Linked DNA regions of Coturnix japonica. The protein of the gene in region 5 interacts with the protein of the main gene of each other region in a pairwise test. Links are inferred from orthologs where the notes say so. Each region holds a gene or a part of one and is shown on either strand. Other genes may lie near its edges.

Evidence for each region. The genes of interacting proteins can lie anywhere in the genome.
Region 1: the proteins of NIF3L1 (region 5) and DMC1 interact in binary tests that used the Homo sapiens proteins (3 or more experiments, as listed by UniProt). The two-hybrid records come from large-scale screens. The link is inferred for Coturnix japonica from reciprocal best matches to the Homo sapiens genes NIF3L1 and DMC1.
Region 2: the proteins of NIF3L1 (region 5) and CDKN2C interact in binary tests that used the Homo sapiens proteins (3 or more experiments, as listed by UniProt). The two-hybrid records come from large-scale screens. The link is inferred for Coturnix japonica from reciprocal best matches to the Homo sapiens genes NIF3L1 and CDKN2C.
Region 3: the proteins of NIF3L1 (region 5) and SAT1 interact in binary tests that used the Homo sapiens proteins (3 or more experiments, as listed by UniProt). The two-hybrid records come from large-scale screens. The link is inferred for Coturnix japonica from reciprocal best matches to the Homo sapiens genes NIF3L1 and SAT1.
Region 4: the proteins of NIF3L1 (region 5) and NATD1 interact in binary tests that used the Homo sapiens proteins (3 or more experiments, as listed by UniProt). The two-hybrid records come from large-scale screens. The link is inferred for Coturnix japonica from reciprocal best matches to the Homo sapiens genes NIF3L1 and NATD1.

Annotation. Positions count from the first base shown.
Region 1 is NC_029516.1:46,402,828-46,406,926, reverse strand, and holds the start of DMC1 (meiotic recombination protein DMC1/LIM15 homolog), read right to left. Parts: upstream 2,801-4,099; 5' UTR 2,703-2,800; intron 2,036-2,702; 5' UTR 1,923-2,035; intron 1-1,922. Other genes in the region: CBY1 (protein chibby homolog 1), read left to right, coding at 3,087-3,164, 3,535-3,640, 3,721-3,836. UniProt on the Homo sapiens protein: Participates in meiotic recombination, specifically in homologous strand assimilation, which is required for the resolution of meiotic double-strand breaks.
Region 2 is NC_029523.1:21,374,494-21,378,586, reverse strand, and holds the start of CDKN2C (cyclin-dependent kinase 4 inhibitor C), read right to left. Parts: upstream 2,801-4,093; 5' UTR 2,683-2,800; intron 2,319-2,682; 5' UTR 2,307-2,318; coding exon 2,178-2,306; intron 1-2,177. UniProt on the Homo sapiens protein: Interacts strongly with CDK6, weakly with CDK4. Inhibits cell growth and proliferation with a correlated dependence on endogenous retinoblastoma protein RB.
Region 3 is NC_029516.1:107,414,926-107,418,924, reverse strand, and holds the start of SAT1 (diamine acetyltransferase 1), read right to left. Parts: upstream 2,801-3,999; 5' UTR 2,587-2,800; coding exon 2,521-2,586; intron 2,324-2,520; coding exon 2,104-2,323; intron 961-2,103; coding exon 859-960; intron 750-858; coding exon 709-749; intron 435-708; coding exon 264-434; 3' UTR 1-263. UniProt on the Homo sapiens protein: Enzyme which catalyzes the acetylation of polyamines. Substrate specificity: norspermidine = spermidine >> spermine > N(1)-acetylspermine. This highly regulated enzyme allows a fine attenuation of the intracellular concentration of polyamines.
Region 4 is NC_029529.1:4,555,849-4,559,796, reverse strand, and holds the start of NATD1 (protein NATD1), read right to left. Parts: upstream 2,801-3,948; 5' UTR 2,596-2,800; coding exon 2,499-2,595; intron 493-2,498; coding exon 374-492; intron 1-373.
Region 5 is NC_029522.1:9,804,258-9,808,275, reverse strand, and holds the start of NIF3L1 (NIF3-like protein 1), read right to left. Parts: upstream 2,801-4,018; 5' UTR 2,740-2,800; coding exon 2,313-2,739; intron 1,719-2,312; coding exon 1,553-1,718; intron 1,128-1,552; coding exon 1,001-1,127; intron 610-1,000; coding exon 471-609; intron 1-470. Other genes in the region: PPIL3 (peptidyl-prolyl cis-trans isomerase-like 3), read left to right, coding at 2,928-2,930, 3,702-3,776. UniProt on the Homo sapiens protein: May function as a transcriptional corepressor through its interaction with COPS2, negatively regulating the expression of genes involved in neuronal differentiation.

The DNA of each region.
Region 1 (4,099 bases), on a different chromosome or scaffold from region 5:
TTCTAGCTCAGCTTCTGAGCTTGTGATGGCTTTTCTTTTAAACCAGCCACCCTGCAGAACTGGACGTGCTCTTCCTTTGGCCACTTTCCTGCTCTTGGCTTTGCTGCTGCTTCTGCAAGTGGGTCTGTATGTAAACCACAGAAACAAATACATCTTGCTCCATTTGTACTCCATGTTTGCCAGGCTAGTGGCTGGAAGAGATCACGATCAGTTTCTCTTCAAATTTTAAAGCTTGGATAGACATCAACTGCCTCATCACAGTTATTTTCACTTTAGAATAACATTTAGAACTCTCAGAAGGGTTGTAGTTAGCCTTAAAATATGGTGTTTCCTGGATTTTGCTACACATAAGGCCTTAACTTGCAAATGGTTCAGGTAATAATTTGCTTCAGCCTTACAATTGGAACTTCAGTGAATGATTAACGTAATGATTCTAATGTTTAACCCCTTGCTCCTCCTTCCTTGGATTATCACAGTTCCTTTGCCTGCCTTACTGGAAGCATATCTACTCCTTTAACATTCCCTCTGTATCACACAGTAAGCTTTCAAGCTCTTCTCTCCTGGTGTTTTTTGCTGAATTAGTGATTATAAATGATGAGCAAGCACAGGTGCACAGCTCCTGCGGAGTTCAATACATCCCAGTACTTCCCTCTGCAGTCTTTCTGTTTATCTGTCCCTCTTGTCATTTTCCTACTGGATCATTAAGGCAAGCTCTAATGGCCGGACAGTCCAACATGGTGGAATGGGCCAAAGCTTCTGAGAACAAATTTCACCCATGACTTCTGCTCTTAGGTCAAGGAGATGGGCTGCAAACCACATGGTGATCCTCAGATGTTCGGGTGGAAAAACAGCATTCAGTATTTTAACTGTAGCCATGAGGTATTTTTAAGTGAACAGCCACCGAGCACATTCCCACCAGCACAGTGCCAATGCAGCAAAAGCAAACTGGAGATAAGAAGCTGATGAGAATAACAACAATCCTCCATCCCAGGCATTTATGAGGAATGACTGAGTGGCCTTGAAGGGACTTTATCTAAAGTAAAAGCACCTGCAAATTGGTTAATGAGACTGAGCTGCCCTGAGCAGAGGATACTCCTTTAGGAATCACTAGTGTACTGCAGGGTGGATCTGGATGGCAACAAGATCAGCTATGAAAAATTCACTCAACCAACTGCAACATCTTCCATCCTTCTCCATATTATCACCTCTGCAGGGTGAGGTGCAATTTCAGTCATCATGTTTTCAGCATATGTTGACACTGCTTGGAGGTTTGAAACAAATATTAGCAATCTGTATTCCCCCTATCGAGCACAGCACTGTGGATCCAGTAAGTAAGAAGTATTTGCACTAATTGGACACACACAAATGGATATACCTTAATGAATGCCTTAATTTCGTGTGCTCTCTTTAAAGAGGTTCATCCACAAGTGAGACGTAACTGTTTCTAGGGCAAAATACGGCATCCACCAGTGCTGGCAGCACCACACTGCAGTCATGTGAGAAGAATAAAAGCAATTCTCTCCTGCTGAAATCGCTAGAGAAATTGCAGGGTGGTGGAAAGCAATTACAGGCTTGGAAAATAGCTACGATACCAGGGTAATGTTGTTATCTAGTAAAAAAAAAAGCAGCAAAAACTGATTGAATTATTCTATAAAATGCCCAACCGTTGCTGAAGTCAGCTGTCTCTAACAAAAGCAAGTTTGGAGATAGCTTCCCTCAACATTCATTGGCTCCATAAATGACTTTAACAAGATTCATATTGCACGACACGCTCATATCCCCAGTTTCGACATGTAGGTCTGGGAAGACCTGTCTAGGTGTCTGAATAGCAAATTAGGAAGTCGGTTTGGAAACTGCTCCTTTTCTTTGTTTCTTTATAGTCTTGACCATTGTTCCTGGCACGCTGTCCAACACTGGCTCACCTGTCTCAACTCAGATTACAGGCTTTCGCGTGTCCTGCGCAAGGCTTGGCACCATTCCTGACAACAAGTGACCACTGCCAGTTGTTTGACTTTGGAACTGGAGGAGTACATTGCTGCAGCAGATAATGAATGAACAAACTGTGGATACGGCCTGCTGACCTATGGCAACACTTTGGCTTTCTCCTGCACCGACAAGATTTAAACTTGCAGACTGAGTTTCACTGGCTTTTATACCCCAAATGAATCGAATTACTTAGATGTGTGAGCTGGGAACCAGCTTCTACACACAACACCCTTCCCTCCCAGTAATGTTAAATATGAGATTCTTCAAATCATTCCTGCGCTTGGTATGTCAGTCGCATTCAAGTATTGTTTTGTGTACGTCATATCAGTGATCATTGCTTTACACTACATTATTCTCGCAGGCAGTGCTTATTAGTCTTCTCCCAACAACTCATCATCTTGAAGGGATGTGGGGAAGGGAGGATTCCTACAAGGATCAATTAACAGATGCCTGCACATCACTGTGGGATTCTCTATTCATAAAGCAACTATTGGTTTCTGGCTGTCCCTACGAAGATGCAGTTCTGCATCTCACTTTGTTTTCTAGCTGTTTTCTCTGCCTATCTCTACTCGCTGCCGCGAGGGCCTCCTGGTGGTGCAACCTGTGCCCGTCAGGCAGGCTCCAAACAGCAGCCCCTTATGGTAAGAATGTACAAGCTAACTTGGCTTCCCCCCCCACACACAGTTTTCTGTCTTTCCAGACCAATTTCTTCTCACCACTCCCTGCTGAACATGGGAAATCCCTGCCAGCCCCTGCATGAGACACTTTGGTTTTCTGATATTAACGCTGTGCCAGGCTCGTAGCCCCGCCGCCAGGCCCCATTCCCCGACGTCGCCATGGAGATGCGCCGGCCGCAAACCGCCGCCGGGCCACGCGGCGGACCCACGGCGCAGAGCGGCGGGGGCTGCCGGGGCGCAGGCGCCGCTCGTGGAAGCGGTGCTGCCCCCCCGGAACGAGGCAGATCCCGACGGAGCGGGACGGGAGCGGCGGGATCCTCATCCGCTCTTCCCTCGCTAACAGGGCGGCTCGGTGACGCGGGCCCTGCGGGTGGTGCTCGTTGCCCCTACCGTTGTTGGGACGTGTCCCGGCAATAGGGAGCGATGCCTCTCTTCGGGAACACCTTCAGCCCTAAGAAGACCCCTCCGCGGAAGGCCGCCTCGCTGTCCAACCTGCACTTGGTGAGTGTTGGGGCTGCGGTTCCTCACAGTCTTTAGTGGCACCCCCAGTGTGTTGGCTGGATGTTGGGGTGGGAGAAAGTGTGGGCATGGTGATGAGCAACTAGGGAACAAGTGATAGGATGAGAGGTGATGGCCTCAAGTTGTGCCGGGGGAGGTTCAGGTTGGATGTTAGGAAGGATTTCTTCTCTATACGAGCGGTGCTGCAGTGGCACAGGCTGCCCAGGGAGCTGGTGGGGTCACCATCGTTGGAGGTGTTCCAGAGCCGTGTGGATGTGGCACTGAGGGACGTGGTTTAATGGTGACGGGTTGAAGGCTGACTGGGTGATCTTAAGAGCTCTGTTCCAACTTCAACAGTTCCTTCTCTCTGCAGCTGGACAGATCCACCCGCGAGGTCGAGCTGGGCCTGGAATATGGCACCCCCACCATGAACCTCACCGGGCAGAGCCTCAAGTTTGAGAATGGCCAGTGGGTGGCAGGTAGTGCCGTGTGGTGTGGGGGGCCTGCAGGGGTCACGGTTGGCTGATGTCCGACTGTGTGCTCTCTTTATTTCCTCCAGAAGTCGGAAGCTTCACGGGAGATCGCAGGGAAATGCAGCGCTTGCGCAAACGCAACCAGCAGCTGGAGGAGGAAAACAATCTCCTTCGTCTGAAGGTGGATATTCTGCTGGACATGGTGAGTACTGAACTTCTGTTCTGTGTGTGAGGCTGCGGGTGACAGAATTCCCCAGCACTAACCACTAACTGGGCTGTCTTGGTGAAGTGCGAAGCCTCAGCTTCCCTCTCACTGAAATGCAGATGCTTTCTCACATTGGAGCTGGCTGTGGCTGTAAATCTCGGCGACATCTCGAGAAAGATTGTGCCAGAAAACACGTTTCTGTAATGGGAAAAGCTTTTGGTAGGGCAGTGCTTGAAGGAGCTCATCGATGTTGCTCTGTG
Region 2 (4,093 bases), on a different chromosome or scaffold from region 5:
TTTCACTTCTGAGCAGGAGTGGGAGGGAAAATAGGAGCAGTGCGAGCCCTCCTTTGTGTTGGGAAAATTATTGGGATGTGTTAGGGAGTATTTTTGGAGGGCTCGGGGTGCATTTTTGGTGGATTTATAAAGTGTATTTGGTCGAAGTGGGAGTTAATAGGCTCGAGGAAGGCAGGCTCGGGGAGTGAGGCTGCATTGCCACATGCGGGGGGGGGAGAAAATGCTCACAGAGGGGATGGAGCCGGGGGGGGGGATGCACAGCTCCTTTCTGCCCGGCTCCTCTAAGGAGCGGCAACGGCCCGTAGCCGTGGCAGGGAGGATCGGGGCAGGACGGGCAGTGAGGCCTGCAGAGAGCACCTCGTCTGAAACTAAAAGCAGAGAGGAAGAGAAGCCGAGCAGCTGCTGAATTAAACAAAAATTCAGTGGCATATATATATATCCACAAATACAAATATGTAGGCAGCCTCTCCCTTTTTACTGAGAGGTTATGGAGAAAATATTGAGAAATTATTGAGGGATTATTTAAAGACTGTCTACATTTGGGAGGCTGTATTGACAGAGCTGTTCGAGGGCAGCCAGGCACCCGCAGCCCATTTCGGGTTGTACAGTACAGAATGTGGCTCCCCGAACCCTCCTGCCCTGCCCCGGGCCGTGCCCCTCTGCTCCATGAGAACCGACGGTCACAGCTCAGAGCGGGGCCGGGGAGCGGCCGCTGTGCCCCTGTGCGAAGCGGCCCCAAGGAGGGCACGGGCAGCTCTCAGTAAATACATCTCCGCTCTGCAAATCGCTTTGCAGCCCTCGTCCCGAGGATGAAGCCCCGAGCTGCAAGTTTCTTTCTCCCTGGCAGCCTTATTGCTCTAAGTGTCCGATTTCCATCCTTTCGATCTCTTAAAAGTTGCCCCGAGTGCCCTCACGGTCACCCGGCACCCGATTGGGGTGAGAACAGCCTCCAAAAAAAAAAAATCCTATATCCCTCGGGCCCCGGTGATGTGCCCCCCCAGGGCCAGCCCTGCTTTACAGCGAGAGGTGCTCGATTTCGAAATGCAACACATTCGATGTCAAGTCAGGGAAGGGGTGGGGGGGGGGGAAGAAAGAAAGAAAGAAAGATTAAAAAAAAAAAAAAAGAAGAAAAAAAAGCTGTAAATATCTCGAGTTCATCCGCAAGAATTCTGCTTTTTACAGAGTACATTTCAGAAATGATTCTCGTGGTTTCGGGGAGGGGGGGAGAAGAGTTAACAAACGATTTTTCTAACGTGTGAAATTAATAAGCCCCGGAGCTCTGCTTCCACGTCCCTCTGTTTCACCTTCGGCACTAATAACCACACACTTTCTCCTCATCTACAGACCGTTCCTCTCGCTATCCCGTACGGATTCGACCCTTTTCGCTATCATTATCTGATATTAGAAAAAGCAAAATCTTTCGTCAGCCGCAACAGTTCGCAGTTGGATGAGCTCCAAATGCTGCCTGCGCGGCTCCACGCTGAAAAAAAGAGGACACGGCACCCCACGGACGGTCAGAAATGAAAGAGCCGAACCCCCGCCCCGCCACCGAGCCGAGAAAGGGCAATTTTCATCCCTAACGATGAATGGAGAGGCGGTGGCGGGGCTCGGGGTGCCGCTCCGCGGCTCTGAGAGCGCATCGAAGGTGCTCGGTGCCGTGCAGCCTCCGAACGAGAAAGGTCATTCGGCACAAACAGCGCATAAAGGAAAAGTACCATCGCGGCAGAGCCCAGCACCCGGACAAGGCACATTTTAAGAGGGAAAGTTGGGGGGGGAAGGAGGGGGGGATGGGGGAAAAGAACCGAGAACTGCAGCTCCAAACCGTAGCACATCGGTGTTTACAGACCTGCCCTGAGCCCTGCTCACCTACGGTGATTTCTTTTCGTCTCCTCTACTTCATTCTCTGCCTCCTCCCCTCCGAGTTCCCAAATCGCACCCAACTCTCTGCCCGTCCGCCACCGAGGGTGACCCCCGGCTGAACCGCTGCTTCTGAGCACTTTTATTTCAAGTACGTCATTTTAGGGAGCTGGAGCCACTAAAGTTATAAAATATGGCATCCAACTCGTTGAAAAAGCCCTCGCATTTCTCCAGCAGCCTGCTCAAAGCGTTGTCTTTTTGGCAACCCGGGTCACGTAGGTAGCAGTGATGAAATATTTTCTCCCTCTCTGGATACCAACCTGCAGCGCAGTCCTCCCAAATCCATTTTGTGCATTGACGTTTACATTCTTTTGCAACAAATTAGTGAGTTGCACTAGGTCCCCCTTGGCAGCCGCGGACGCCAGCTCGTTCCCAGAAGGCTCGGCCATTCTTTAGGGTGACTGACGATCAGAAAAAGATGAGATTTTTTTTTTTTTTAACCAGGCATGGCATCGGAGACTGACAGAAGGATTGGGATGGTTAATCTTCTGGAGTAGACCTTGTAGTAAATACTCGTAAAAAAACTCCTTGCCAAGAGCCCGCCCCTAACTCACACGTGATTATTCAGCAAAACTGCAGCTCCGCTTGAAAGAAGATTTCTTTGCTTCCACATAGAGAGGAACTCATATTAAAGCCTTTGGCCGGTTGCGAGGGGAAATACATTAAGAGCTATGCGATATATGATATATGTTACACGTAACATATATACACGCACGTATACCGGAGACTCACTCAGACCTGAGATCCTGGAAGAGGACAACCCACCCTGCTCACAGTCGGCATCTGAGCCTCAGCAGCCGCAGCTCCGAGGCAAAGTCTTCACTATCGGGGTCCGCCCGCCGCATGCCCCGCTCCGGGGCCGGGCAGAAGGCGCGGAGCGAGACGCTCCCGGATCTCGCCGCCTCCCTCGTCGCTCTCTGTGCCGGCGGCGGCCTCACTCCCGCGGCCTCTCCGCGGCTCCGCGATCCGGGCCGGCGGGAGCCGCCCTGGGCGGCGGCGGCCGGGGTGCATCCAGCGGGGCTGCGGGGCGGCGGGCGGCGGCCCGGCGGGGCGGGCTCATGCCGTGTCCGCGGGGAGCCGAGGTCCCCGCCGCTCTCGGTCGCCTCCGCCGCCGCCTCCTCTGCGGGTCGCCGTCCGGGCCGGGGGACGGAGGGACGGAGGAACGGCGGGTGCAGCGGGCGGTGCGTGGTGCCGCCGCCGATGACAGCCGCGCTGCGCCGCTCCGTCCGCTCCGCTGCTCGCTGCACTTGCCGCTCCGCTGATCGCTGCCTCCTCCCGCGGCTCCGCGCTCTCCCTTTTTTAAGCGCAAACAATCGCTACTTCTGTTTCCTACGGACACGAAGCCGGTTTCTCTCTCTCTCTCTCTCCTCTCTCTCTTCCAACCCCCCCCCCGCTCCTTTTTTTTTTTTTTTTTTTTTTTTAACCTCATCAGCTTTTTTTGAAAAGAAAAAAAATTTGAGCGCTTTTTGAGTTGAAACACCCGCCCACATTTTAACGGCAGAGATTTAAGGAGGCGCGGCGGAGTTGCGGCTCTGCCGGGCAGGAAGGCCTGCAGCGCCCGCCCCGCCCCTACGGCCCCGCAGCGGCCATGAGCGGGGCCGGGAGGGAGAGAGGGAGGGGAAAGGGAAAAGGAGGGGGGGGGAAAGGTGTTTTTTCGGCTGGTTTTGCTCCGTAGCCGCCGTGCCCCGCGGCTGAGGGCACCTGCCCCGGGAAGCGGCCCCGGGGCCGGGGAGGAGCTGTCCCGGAGCTGCGGGAGGCGATGATCCGAGGCGGCTTTTGGACTTTCCGCCGTTCGCGATGGATTCGAAAGTGCCATTTTGAGGGGAACGGGCACCCAGAAGACGCGAGGGGTTGTTCCATCTTCCCGCACAAGGGCCGCGGAGCAGCGGGAGGCGTGGAGATGGCAGCGCCCTTCTGACAGCGGCACTCCGTTGCCTTGCGCCGCTCTCGTTGCTTTATGTTCCAGGAAGCCTCAGGGGGGCTGAATCGCACCCAAAAGAGCCCCGAGGGAGGTAAGGAACAACGTGGCTGCCCGGGGTCTGTCAGCACCCCGCCCGGCTCTGCTCACGGCGGAGGCGTTGGCACCGGGAACTGCTCGGAGACGTTCGGCACCGGGAGCTGCGGGAGCTGCGGGAGCACGGCGGGGGGCAGTCCGCACCACGGCCCGGGACGCACA
Region 3 (3,999 bases), on a different chromosome or scaffold from region 5:
ACACATTTGAATGCCACTTACAAGAATGAAGTTTCCATATACAAAGATTACAAGTTCACACTGGTAAAAGGATGGATACAAGCACGTATTCAACTTGAGATGCCTCCGCTCCAGCTGACGGTACCAATTACTCTATGACCATGGTTGCACAGTACTACCATCCACTCTATTTTATTCCACTACCAACACAGAAAGCAAGAAGGGGTTTATTCAGAGAGCGCGTATATTCATTGCAAGAGTTTAGTTGCTGGAATCTTCTCTCACTACTCTTCCGTTGCCATCTTCAACAGATACTCCTTGTCGATTTTGAAGAGCCTCCAGCCCTCTTCAGTGGACAGATCGGAGGCGCCCCTTCTCTTGTAGAACCTGATGGAGGGCTCGTTCCACTCTGCCACTAGGAAGTGCATGCTGCTGCAGCGGCACTTGACAGCAACCTGCAGGAACGCAAACACAGGTCAGCGGGTCTGATGCTAAGCAGCACCAGCTGCAGATTGCTCCGAGTCATGATGTTCACTTTATCTCTCAGTTCAGCCTCTAGGCAGTGGTTAAGGCTGCCTGGAGCTCTGTCATTTCTCTTTTAGTAACTCATCAATGCTAATCCTGTGTAGTGCTCAAGGAGAAACTTGATTGCAGCTAACAGAAAATCAAGACTACTGCTCCATCATGCATCCCCAGTGCTGTTCATTTAGACTTAACACTCAGACATACCTGACTCAGATTCTTCAGGATTTCTGATCCAATGCCAAGTCCTGAGGGAAAAAGCAACAAAAATATACAGTTTAAGGAAAAAACAGCAAGACAATTTCAATTTTAAAGTAGCTCTGTAGGAAGCAGCTTGTCTGATTCCATAGTACTTACCTCTGTATTCAGCCATCACATAGAAATCTTCAAGATACAACAGCTTCCCAATCCATGGATCGTAAGTGAAGTAATACATAGCAAAGCCCACGATGCTGTGCCCTGAAACAAAGCACGCAGCTTTAGCTGGTCTGAAGCTACCGATTTGCATTAAGTCTTACATGCATATTTAAATATACAGATAGTGACATGCAGCCGTTTGCTATAAGGTTAGAATAAGAATGAAGCACAACTGGAAACGTCAGTATAAACTGGCATCAACCTAACGGAAGACTGCCCTCTTCACACCCTGAAACGCTCAAGAGCAATGTTATAATAAGCAGTGAACAAAAAGGCTTTATTTCTACTAATACATACCCTACTGATTTATCAGCACTTCCCTTCTGGAATACAAAGCAATACAGAGCAGTCCAAGGCCTAGGTAACCGCCCCAACACTGCCTTGCTTGGCAACCCCGACAAGCTACAAAGCTCTACAGAAGGTTCATCTTCCAATGTATTGCTCAGTAGAGAGAAGACATGCTCAAAGACAACTGGTACATTCTGATACATTTCTGATACGCTGACATATGTGCACACTGATTGTATTGTGCTGTTTTGAATTCAGCACCAACAAATCAAGCTACATAGAACTGCAGCTTCAAGTACAGCTGCACCACTCAACAGGGAAGAGAAACCAGCTCTTCCTGCAATAACATATTCAAATCTAAGCCTTGAAAATCGCAATGTCTACCATCATACTCTGCACATACTCTAAAGGAAGCGTGCAATAACTTCTGATCTACTGTGTCTTTGGTAAAGGTTTGGGAATAGCACTTGTCCCTGTAGACCTTACCTCATATTATGATCATCTACTTTATTGTGTAACGGATCTTTTAGTTACCTCCCCGCCCATCCATGTACACAGAAGGGCCATGTACATGGCGAAGCTAGAGACTGTAACCTGAAGATTGGGGACAAATTAAAGAAAACATGTGATTCAACAGGATTACATAAGGTTAAGTTAGGGTCAAACAAGAAAAGCCATTTAATTACTTGGCATTAAGTACATTGTTACACCTGATCATCCAGCATCTCCGAGGTTAGCAACTACTTCACAACAGCACGGCTCTACGTTATCGCCATTTTTAAGCTTAGCCTGTTCCTCCTGCCCCGACTCCTCGCTGGAACCTCAAGTCAGGTAGGTCACAATAAGCACAAGGCATCTCTTATGTAAAAAGAACAAACGAGCGGCGCAATATCTCACCTTCAGCCGACCACTGCTCTTTGGGCACCTCCGCAACGAGGCAGTGGTAGAACGGGTGCTCACCGAATCCATCCTCCAGCAGCTCTACGAGAGCAAAACAAACGGGACCCTTCAGATGCGGGCGGCGGCACCGAGCCGCAGCAGGGCGGGCAGTCGCTGCAAGCCTACCTTTCTCGGTTAGCACCACTTGATCCTCCATGTCCTCGTACTTGGCTAGTTCCTGGAACGGCACAACACGTCAGCCGCCTCCCCCGGGCCCATCACCCCTCCTCCCTCCTTCCCTCCCCCCCTCGGCCTTGCGCAACGCCCTGTTTGCGCCTTCCCCGGGTTCGGCCGCCTTTCCTTCTCTCCCCCCCCCCCATCCCATCCCACCCCCCCCCACCCCATCCCTCTTGGCCTAACGTTGGCGTCCCGCACCTTGATCAGTCGCAGCAGGTCTGAGCAGTCCTCGGGACGCGCGGCGCGGATACTGAACGAAGCCATTTTCGACGGCGTTTCCCCCTGCGGCCCCCTCGGCTGACGAGTCCCCGGTGTGTGAACAGGAGGAGCAGCTGTTTCTTCATTCGTGTCCCGGGCGCGGCGGCCACCTGCGGTCAGTCAGGCTGCGAGCATGTCCCGGCGGCGCTCGGCAAGCAGACGGCTCCCACCCGACAACAACCCCGATCCAACGCCAACTGCGCCGGCTGCGCATCCTCCGCCTCCATTTATAGATGACCGCGCTCCGCCTCTCCCCGCACGACAGCCAATGGGAGTGCCCGCAGCTCTCGCCCCCAGCCAATGGTAGCGCCCCTCCCCGGAATCTTGCCTCGCCCTGCCAGCAACAGCTGCCGCCGGTGTCTCGTGACTGCCGGCCGCCATGGCGCCCTCTGGCGGAGGCGGGAGGCGCAGCAGGACAGGCCCCCCCTGCTGTATGTGAGGCTCGGGGCGGCTGTGCCACTCACACCGTTTTCCAGTGCACACCATGGCTTAAGAAGTTCACAGAATTGTAGGGGTTGGAAGGGACCTCTAGAGATCATTGAGTCCAACCCCCCTGCCAGAGCAGGCTCCCTACACCACGTCACACAGGTAGGCGTCCAGGCGGGTCTTGAATATCTCCAGAAAAGGAGACTCCACCACCTCCATGGGCAGCCTGTTCCAGTGCTCCGTCACCCTCACTGTAAACAAATTATTTCTCACATTCATGTGGAACTTCCTATGCTGAAGTTTCACCTTCATTTAGACACAGGGACCAGTATGGAACATGATACTGCCCAAGGATTGGATGGAGAAGTGTATTCTGGTGTCCAGGTTTGGTCAAGAAAACCATCTGGCACATGCTTAGAGCCCTGGAAGGCTCTAACATCTTAAATTCACCCTAAATCCAGTTTAGCCTCCATTAGAACAAATATGGAGCTGTCCAGAGAACAGATGCATATAAAAACCAGGAAGTGGCAGTCACAAAATCACATAATCACAGAACTGTAGGGGTTGGAAGGGAACTCTGGAGATCATGGAGTCCAACCCTATAGCAGGTTGCACAGGAAGGCATCCACAGGGGCCTTGAATCTCTCCAGAGAACAAACTCCACAGGCTCTCTGAGCAGCCAGTCCCAGGGCTCTATCATCCTCACAGTGACGAAGTGAACTTCTTTACAGTGAGGGTGACGGAGCACTGGAACAGGCTGCCCAGGGAGGTGGTGGAGTCTCCTTCTCTGGAGATATTCAAGACCCGCCTGGATGCCTACCTGTGTGACGTGGTGTAGGGAGCCTGCTTTGGCAGGGGGGTTGGACTCGATGATCTCTAGAGGTCCCTTCCAACCCCTACAATTCTGTGATTCTGTGATCTTCCTCATGTTAGTACAGAACTCTTTGAGTTCCAGCTGCATTGCCCCTTGTTCTATTGCTGCTCACTACCAAA
Region 4 (3,948 bases), on a different chromosome or scaffold from region 5:
AGTGAGGCCCAAGGAAGAGAAAGGGCACGTGTGGGCCTTGAAGCTTTGGGGCGAGGGAGCCCAGCTCCTGGGGGGAGATGCTGGAGCAGCCCCAAGGGGAAGCAGGGTGGGAGCGAGGGCTGCTGGCAGTGGAGGAGGATCGAGCAGAGGACGTGCTGGAACTCACCCAGCCCCCCTCGCGGCCAGAAATAGGAACATCTGACCACAGGTTTCCATCCAGCCCTCCAGCCCCCAGGGGGAAGGCTTAACACCTCCCTTTTGAGTGCTGAGCCACCCCAAAATGCTCTCCTTTTCCTCTGGGGCCTCACTTAACCTCCCCACACCTCTCCCCTCCATCGGATAGAAGCAGCTCCCCCCAGGGCAGTGGCTGTACCTTTGCAAGGTGTTTGGCTATCCCTCTTCCCCGATAGGCATCCGGCACCTCGGTGTGCTGCAGGTCCACAATGCGCTTCCCCACGTATTCATAGAGCAGCACCGCTCGGTCATGGCAACCTGGGGATGGGAGAGAGTGCTGAGGAACTGCCAAAGCTGAACAGGGAGCACCAGCTCTTTTCCCCCTACAGCATGGGCCAGAACACGGGACAAAGCTTCCAGGCCTGGTGTTACATTTGGGACCTTGGAAGGACTGGAGGGAGATACTGGAACAGCTGGGTATCCCATAAGTGCACACAGGTGTGCAGGGGTGCGTGTGTGCACACTGACACACACATTTCCTGTTGCAAAACCCTGACATTCTCACAGCAATTTAGATAGAGGAAGAAAGAAGTTTCAGCACACATGTAAATCAGAGGAGAGCTAATAATACCCCTCCATCTCCATCTGCAGAGCCCAAACTCAGCTTCAACTCATTTCTGGAGAGTTTCTATACTTAAAGAATTTCCAAAACACAAGCTTCCCATCAATGAGACAAACTCAGTTAAAATAACAGAAACTTTTCCTTTCCCCCCAGTGCTTACTGGAGGATGAAGGGCCCCACCTTCACCTGCACTTACTGCATGCTTCAGCTGAGCGCCATCCATTCACTTTTGCTGCATTGCAGCTGAAAACACCTCCTTATGCCCTCTCTGTCCTGGGATGGGGGACGGGGAGGAACGTCTTCCCCACTGCCCAGCCCAGATGCAATCCTACACATCACTCCATAGCTGCAAACCTTGGCAGGGAAAAAGGGGACAGAGCAAAGCCAGCAATCCCAAGGAGCCGTCCCCAAGCACACAGACAGCCCTGCAGAGAGCCTGGCACGTTCCTACAGAGAGATGCACCACATGCAGTGCTGAGTGGAGATGGCACAGCTGTCCCCGACGGCCCCACTCTGGAACAGCACAGGGGGCCCAGCTCAGCTGCAGTTTCCTGCTGAGGAGATCTAGTGACTGTAGCACTGGGAGAGCACAGAGCCATCTCGGTGCACAGCACAACCTCATCCCTTTAGTCCCAGCACAGCAGCACAGCCTGCTCTGGTTTTCCTATGGAAACACTCAGTGATGCTCTCCAGCAAAAAGGGCTGTGCTGGCTGTCTGTGCTGTTACCTACAGCTTAACTGAGGACAAATCAAAGGATCACAGAATCATTAAGGTCACAAAGGACCACCAAGATCATCATCTAGTCCAACCCACCACCAGTACTGCTCACCAACCACATCCACACCCTGCTCAAACACCTCCAAGGATGGTGACCCCACCACTCCCTGGGCAGCAGTGTCACTCCTTAGAATAAATAGTTCCTGCTATCCAACCTGAATGTCCCCCGGCACAACCTGAGGCCATTCCCTCTCATCCCATCAAGCTTCTCTCTGCTCTCCTCTCCAAGAGGAGAACAAAGCGTGGTCAGTCCCTGCCATGAGCTGCTTTACTTCCAGCTCTCAATGCTTCTGCTTTCAGGACACAAAGAGAAAAGCAACGTGCTGATTTGATGCAGGCATTAGGAAGCACACATAGCACTGTAGGCTCAGAGGAGAGGGATGAAGGGGCAAACACCAAGCACCATTCATTTCCTCGCATACAAAGAAAGCAGAGAAGATACTGCAAACCAGCTGGTTTCCTCCCACCAGGCTGCCCAGGGCCCACCCACGGCCTCGGGCACCTCCAGGGCTGGGCACTCAGTGCTCTGGGAGCAGCGCCAGCCCCTCACCGCCCTCTGAATGAAGGATTTCCTTTCCCCAATGACCCCTTTTGTCCCACCAATGCACCCACAGCACAGGGTGCCCTCATTTGATCCCAATGCCGGCAGCGAGTGGGCGGAGGGAGCTTCACCTCCACGTACATCACCTCCCGCTGCACTTTGTAATTAGCGGTTGGAATTAAAAGAGAAAAAAAAAAAAGAGGAGGAGGAAAAAGAATCCAACATAACCCCATCCGGCTGCTGGTGTTTACCAGGTGAACCGGAGAGGGGCTGGTTTCACGGGGACGCCGAGAGGCACCGATTAAATGCACAGGAGGAGGGGGCTGAGGACAGAGGGGGGGGATCGGGGGGTAGGGGGCGGATCGGGGGCTCTGCTCCGTTACCGTTCAGCCGCACGGTGAACTGCCGCCGCTTCCGATCGTGCTCCACCTGGATGGGGCAGCCCTGCTCCATAAGGCCGAGCGGCGCCGAGTGCGCCATGGCCGGGCCGGGCAGTGAGACTGTGCCGTGTAGGAGCGGGGAGCTGCGGGGACCGGGAACGAGCCGGGTCGGGTCGGGTCGGGTCGGGTCGGGTCGGGCCGTAGCGGCGGCACCGGGAGCTGCCACCGGTGCTTGGCCGCAGGAAGCCAGCTGTGCGCCACGTGCCCGCCCCGCAGCCTATGGCAGCGCTGCCGTTTTGTTTTGATACATTTGCCCGGCTCTTAAAGGAGCCGTAACACATTCTGCTCCACGACGAGCCCCGGCGCCCCCGCGTGGGCGGTGCGGTCACGGACAGCGCTGGGTCCCGGTAGTGCTGCGTCCCGGTAGTGCTGTATCCCGGTACTGCTGTATCCCGGTAGTGCTGCCCATTGCAGCGTGTGCCATTACTCGCCCTAAACCCGCTCGTTGAGCCCAAACTCCAGGATTGCTGCCCTGCTGGCACAAAGCCGGGCCCACCCCGTTCCCAGCTCTGTGATACGAGCAGTGTGTCACAGCCCGCAGCCCCGAACGTGGGCTTTGGGAATGCTCCCAGGCTGAGCTGAAAGGCGGTGAATCTGCTACGTCTCTCATTAAAGTAATTACTCGCACTATTAACATCAGTGATTTATTTCCCATTTGAGCCTTTCTAGCTTCAATTTACAGCTGCTGGATGTTAGCGCTGTCACTGGGTCCAGCCCGGACACAGGTGCAACCCCGGACCCATGTTTCCTGTCCTTATTTCAGACACATTTTCCAGCTCTCAAACCGATCAAACGAAGCTCTGCACAGCCCGGATCGGAACTGCACGAGACTGCACGAGGGCTGCGTTTGCTCCCACCCCTCCTTCGTAGCGGTTTGGATCACGCTGGGAAATTTCTGCCTGCAAAGATTGCTCCCCATAGAGCAGATTGCAGGATAGGTCAGGGCTGGTTCACGGGAGACCCCAGCAATGGGATCCCATGGGAATGCGATGGCATCACTTATCCCTGTGCAGGGTGACGTGGCTGCTGCGGGTCCCCCCTTGCATCAGCCCTGCCCAGCACGTGCCCGGGCAGGTGATGCTGATGCACGCAGGGGCAGATAGGTGGGGGATTTTCCAAAGGGGCTGTGCAGGGTCCTGGCTGCCCCACAGCTGATGCTGGAGCGTGCAAAGCAGCACACGGCTGTTGTTTAACATCCTGCAAACGAATGGATGGAGGGTGTTACGAGCTGCGGCTTCTCCTTCAAGGCAGAGGGTGCTGCTTGCACCTGCCCAGGCTGTTCCCAGCAGGCTCCCATTTCCTGCACTTACACGGAGGTAACTGGGACACAAGGCGGTCCAAGTTCCCTTGGCATTGTGGTGATGTGCTCATATAGGTAAAGCTCCAATCAGTG
Region 5 (4,018 bases):
ACTTTCTCTGTCACTATTTTTCTCTCATCATAACATTGATGGTTGTTTGTTCAGAAGGATACCAGAAAACATCTTTACTATTCTAAGGTGCTGGTAAATTTAAGTCAGTTGCAAAAGGGGTCATATTATGAGGCGGTACATGCTTAAGTCTGGTATCTTGGGGGCAAATATCTTAAGTCATTATATGAATTATGAAAAGTGGTATCTCATTCGGCTCATGCTGTGCCTCCTTCACAGTGACAACTACCATAAAACATTTTCCAGTCAAAAATGATGTTCCAGATGATGTCTTTTTGCCTGACTTTATCACCAACATTCTAAAAAGCTGCCTCTTATCTTTGACAGCGCTTCATACTGTTGGCAAGTAAACCTGTCCAAGGCAGCAGGATTTCACACACCTACACACACACGCTGCTTGTGTTCCTGGAATGCTAGTTGAGATGGGCAGTGTTACTGGTGGGTTTGATTACCGAGTGTCTTGCCTGTTCCCATGGCAAGGCGAACGTGGGGTAATTTGAGGTGGCTTTTGATACGCTCAATTATGTCTGACAAGGAAGCTGGCTCACTCAGTGTGCAGAGACGTCCCATTCCAGTATGTGGAAGAAGAGGCTGAAGAGAAAAGAAATTCAAATTACTGTGAGAAAGCTGACTCCAGAAGTTCACATTACTTTCTGTAGTGTATAAAAACAAGTATACTGAGCGTTAAGGAAAAACAATTCTGAACTTTATGGAAAAAATATGGATGTTATTGAATGCAACATACTAACTACAGTAGTGTTTGGAACCCAGTTTTAGAACTAGTTCAGGCCACATAGTTATTTTTCATTGTTTGGGAAAATGGATGTGGCCTCAAATGGCATCAAATGCCTACAGGCCAGTAGTTCAGAGCACTGACAGGATGCAGAGGAAACCTGCGATGCCAGCAGTTGATGGAATTCAATTTTAGGGCAGTCAGCTCATAGAAGTGACACTCACTGGAAGCAATATATAGTTTTATTACCTTTTGTAGTAAGAGAATCTCAGTCTTGTGATAAAGAAGGCTGTTCTGGGACAATAACGCCACTACCTCCAGCAGTGCTTTCTGAGAGCAGTTCAGACTGACTCGTGTCTGCTCCTCCCTGTCAGCCCTAAGGAAAGATGTGTTTGGTGCTTGTTAAGAGCTTAGGTAAAATTTCAGCATAGTATTCAAAGAGCATAAAGGTGTTCAGAGGCCTGCTGCACAGAAAGGGGAAAAAAAAGACATAACAGTCTAGCTTAGTCTGGAGGAAGCACACATGGGAATTTAACCCACGTGTATTTAATTTGTATTTCTTGTTAATACTCTTCACCACGTTAATCCCTGTGATGCTACATGAAGTCAATAATTACCATTCAGTATAACATGCATTGATCAGAAGGGGATGATTGTCTTTTAATTTTATGGGTCTGTTGCTGAAAAAAAGTAGCAGTGCTGCACAGAGGAATGAAGTGGTTACAAGCAGTAAAACACAGCTCCAGCAACTTAATATTTCAAATGAGAGAAAAGAACATGATGTTAGAGTGAAGCAGATACCTGACAGGGAGAGTGGTGAGACAGAAGATCTCTGGGATGTCTTTGATTTTGGACAGCACTGTGTCTAGTTGCTCTGTAGAGTCTGCACAGAATTCTACCTGGTGAGTGCCCTCAGTCGGGTGGCTTGGAGCGGTTGATGGGTGCAGTGGGACAGAAGTACAGGCACCTGAGGAAACAGAGCAAGGACTGGCTTTAGAGAGCTAGGTGATGTGAAAGCTTAACTGATGCTGATTTAGCATGTATCCAAAAGAGGACAAATTTTGCACTTGAACCCATTTTCCCGGACTGGAACTCAGGACTCTTGTCCTGTGAAGCACAAATAAGTTGACTGACACATATCATTTGTTACTCTTCACAGTGTTCCTGTTTTATCCTAACAGTTGTATCAGGCTGGAAAAAGCACAGCTGTTCTCATTCATAAGCCATGGCAGAAGTCTAAAAGAATTTCAGATACTTTAAGTCATGTAGGAACAATGAGATTATCTATAAATCTATCAATTACAGGCAGTAATTTAAACTCAGCAGCCTAGACTCTTTAACCAAGACAGTAAACACACTGCGCCTGTTCTGCGTCCAGTAGCACACATGCACCTGGAAATGTCCTCTGGTGTTCACAGCTGGTTTGTATCACACCGAGGTGTTACTTGTAAAAGCTGGCTAAAGGAAAGCAGGGAGGCAAGGCTCCCCATGGGATAATGTGATGGATGTGACCAATACTGCTGAGTAACCGGACCCAATGTTGTGTTTTGAGCAGTCTCACCGAGTCCCTTGGACAGCCAGGTGTTGACTCCATGGGGTACAGCATCGTACGCTGTGTGCGGGGAGTAGATCCCGATCCTGTGCTCCAGAGCCCGGACCACCAGCCGCTCCTTCCAGGTCCTCCATGTGACCCGCTTGAGCGGAGCGAAGATGGGAGGGTGATAGGACAGAATGAGGTCCGCGTTCTTCTGCACCGCCTCCTCCATCACCTGCTCGGTCAGGTCGTTGGTGAGGAGCAGGGTGCGCACGGCGTGGGGAGGGCTGGGCTCCACCAGCAGCCCCACGTTGTCCCAGCTCTCAGCCAGGGACGGGGAGGCGAAGTCATTCAGGGCGGCGACGAGCTCCCTGAGGTCCATGAGGGAACGGGAGGGAGGGCGGCCCGCAGCACGGATACAATGGAGCGGGCGGCAGAGCAGGCAGAGCAGCATGCGGAACCGACGGGGAGAGAACGAGGAGGAGGAGGGCAGAAGGGCTGGGGACGGACGAGAGACGGACGCAGTTCCGGTGATGCAGGTTGTGTTCCACTGTCTGCTGGGAGAAGGGGGAGCCGAGTGCTGTGTTTCCTTTGCAGGCAGTTGCTGTACACGCTCCTATCGCAGCCTCTTGATGAGCAGATATGGTGAGAACTGCAGCACTTCGTATGTACTCGTGTGTTTAATGAAACGTGTGGGTGTGTTGGAAAGCAATTGGCTGCTCTGCTTCTCTGCTCTGCTGACAATAGCAGGACACGGGGAAATGGTTTTAAGTTAAACGAGGGAAGATTTAGGTTGGATGTTAGGGGGAAGTTCTTCCTAGGGAGTGGTTAGGCCCGGAACAGGCTGCCAGGGAGGTTGTGGATGCCCCGTCCTTGGAGGTGTTCAAGACCAGGTTGGACGGGCCCTGGGCAACCTGATCTAGTAAGGTGTATGTTTGGTGGCCCTGCAGCAGGGGGGTTGGAACTCACAGGTGATCCTTGAGGTCCCTTCCAACCCGGGTCATTCTGTGATTCTCAGATGGTGTGTTGTGCTCTGATGCTGTGAGGAATTTGCAATGAGAAGTGCAGGTTTCCATTTCGGACTCCTAAAGGATAGAGTGATGTGTGGGAGCTGGTGAGTCATGGCCCGAACCACCGATTGGTCACTTCACTTTACAGGTGAAAAAGAAGATACAGTTGTATCAGTCTGAAATGGGTTCAGACTCTCAGTTCTAAGACAGTCAGTTTTAAGCTTTCATGTGTGAAAGCTTTAAAAATGGTAATTTTTTTTGCCTATAGCCAGATACTGACACAACAGTTATATATGTAACGGGAACTCACTCCTGTTCTTGTTCCTGATAGAGCAGGAAATCAATCTGGTCTATAGCTCTTCGCATTTCATTGCTGGTTTAATTATGTTTTGTGACTGTTTTTCAGGCTGTCACGCTACACACTGATGTAGGAGACATTAAAATTGAGCTGTTTTGTGAGCGAACACCGAAAACATGTGAAGTAAGTCAAATAACAGGAATGGGATTGTGTAGTGTTGAAGCAAAGCAGTAATAGTGGAGACCACAGAACGGGAGATGTGACCGTTCCAGCTAACATTTTCAAATAGTAGAATATTCCATTTTAAGGTGGCATGGAACTTGTTGGACAGTGTATTCTTGTGTGCTGTGTCATAGAGCCTAAAGCTTTGCTGCCTGTTTCTCACCACATAGTATTTACTTGAGAGTTGTTTCTCTCCAATTTCT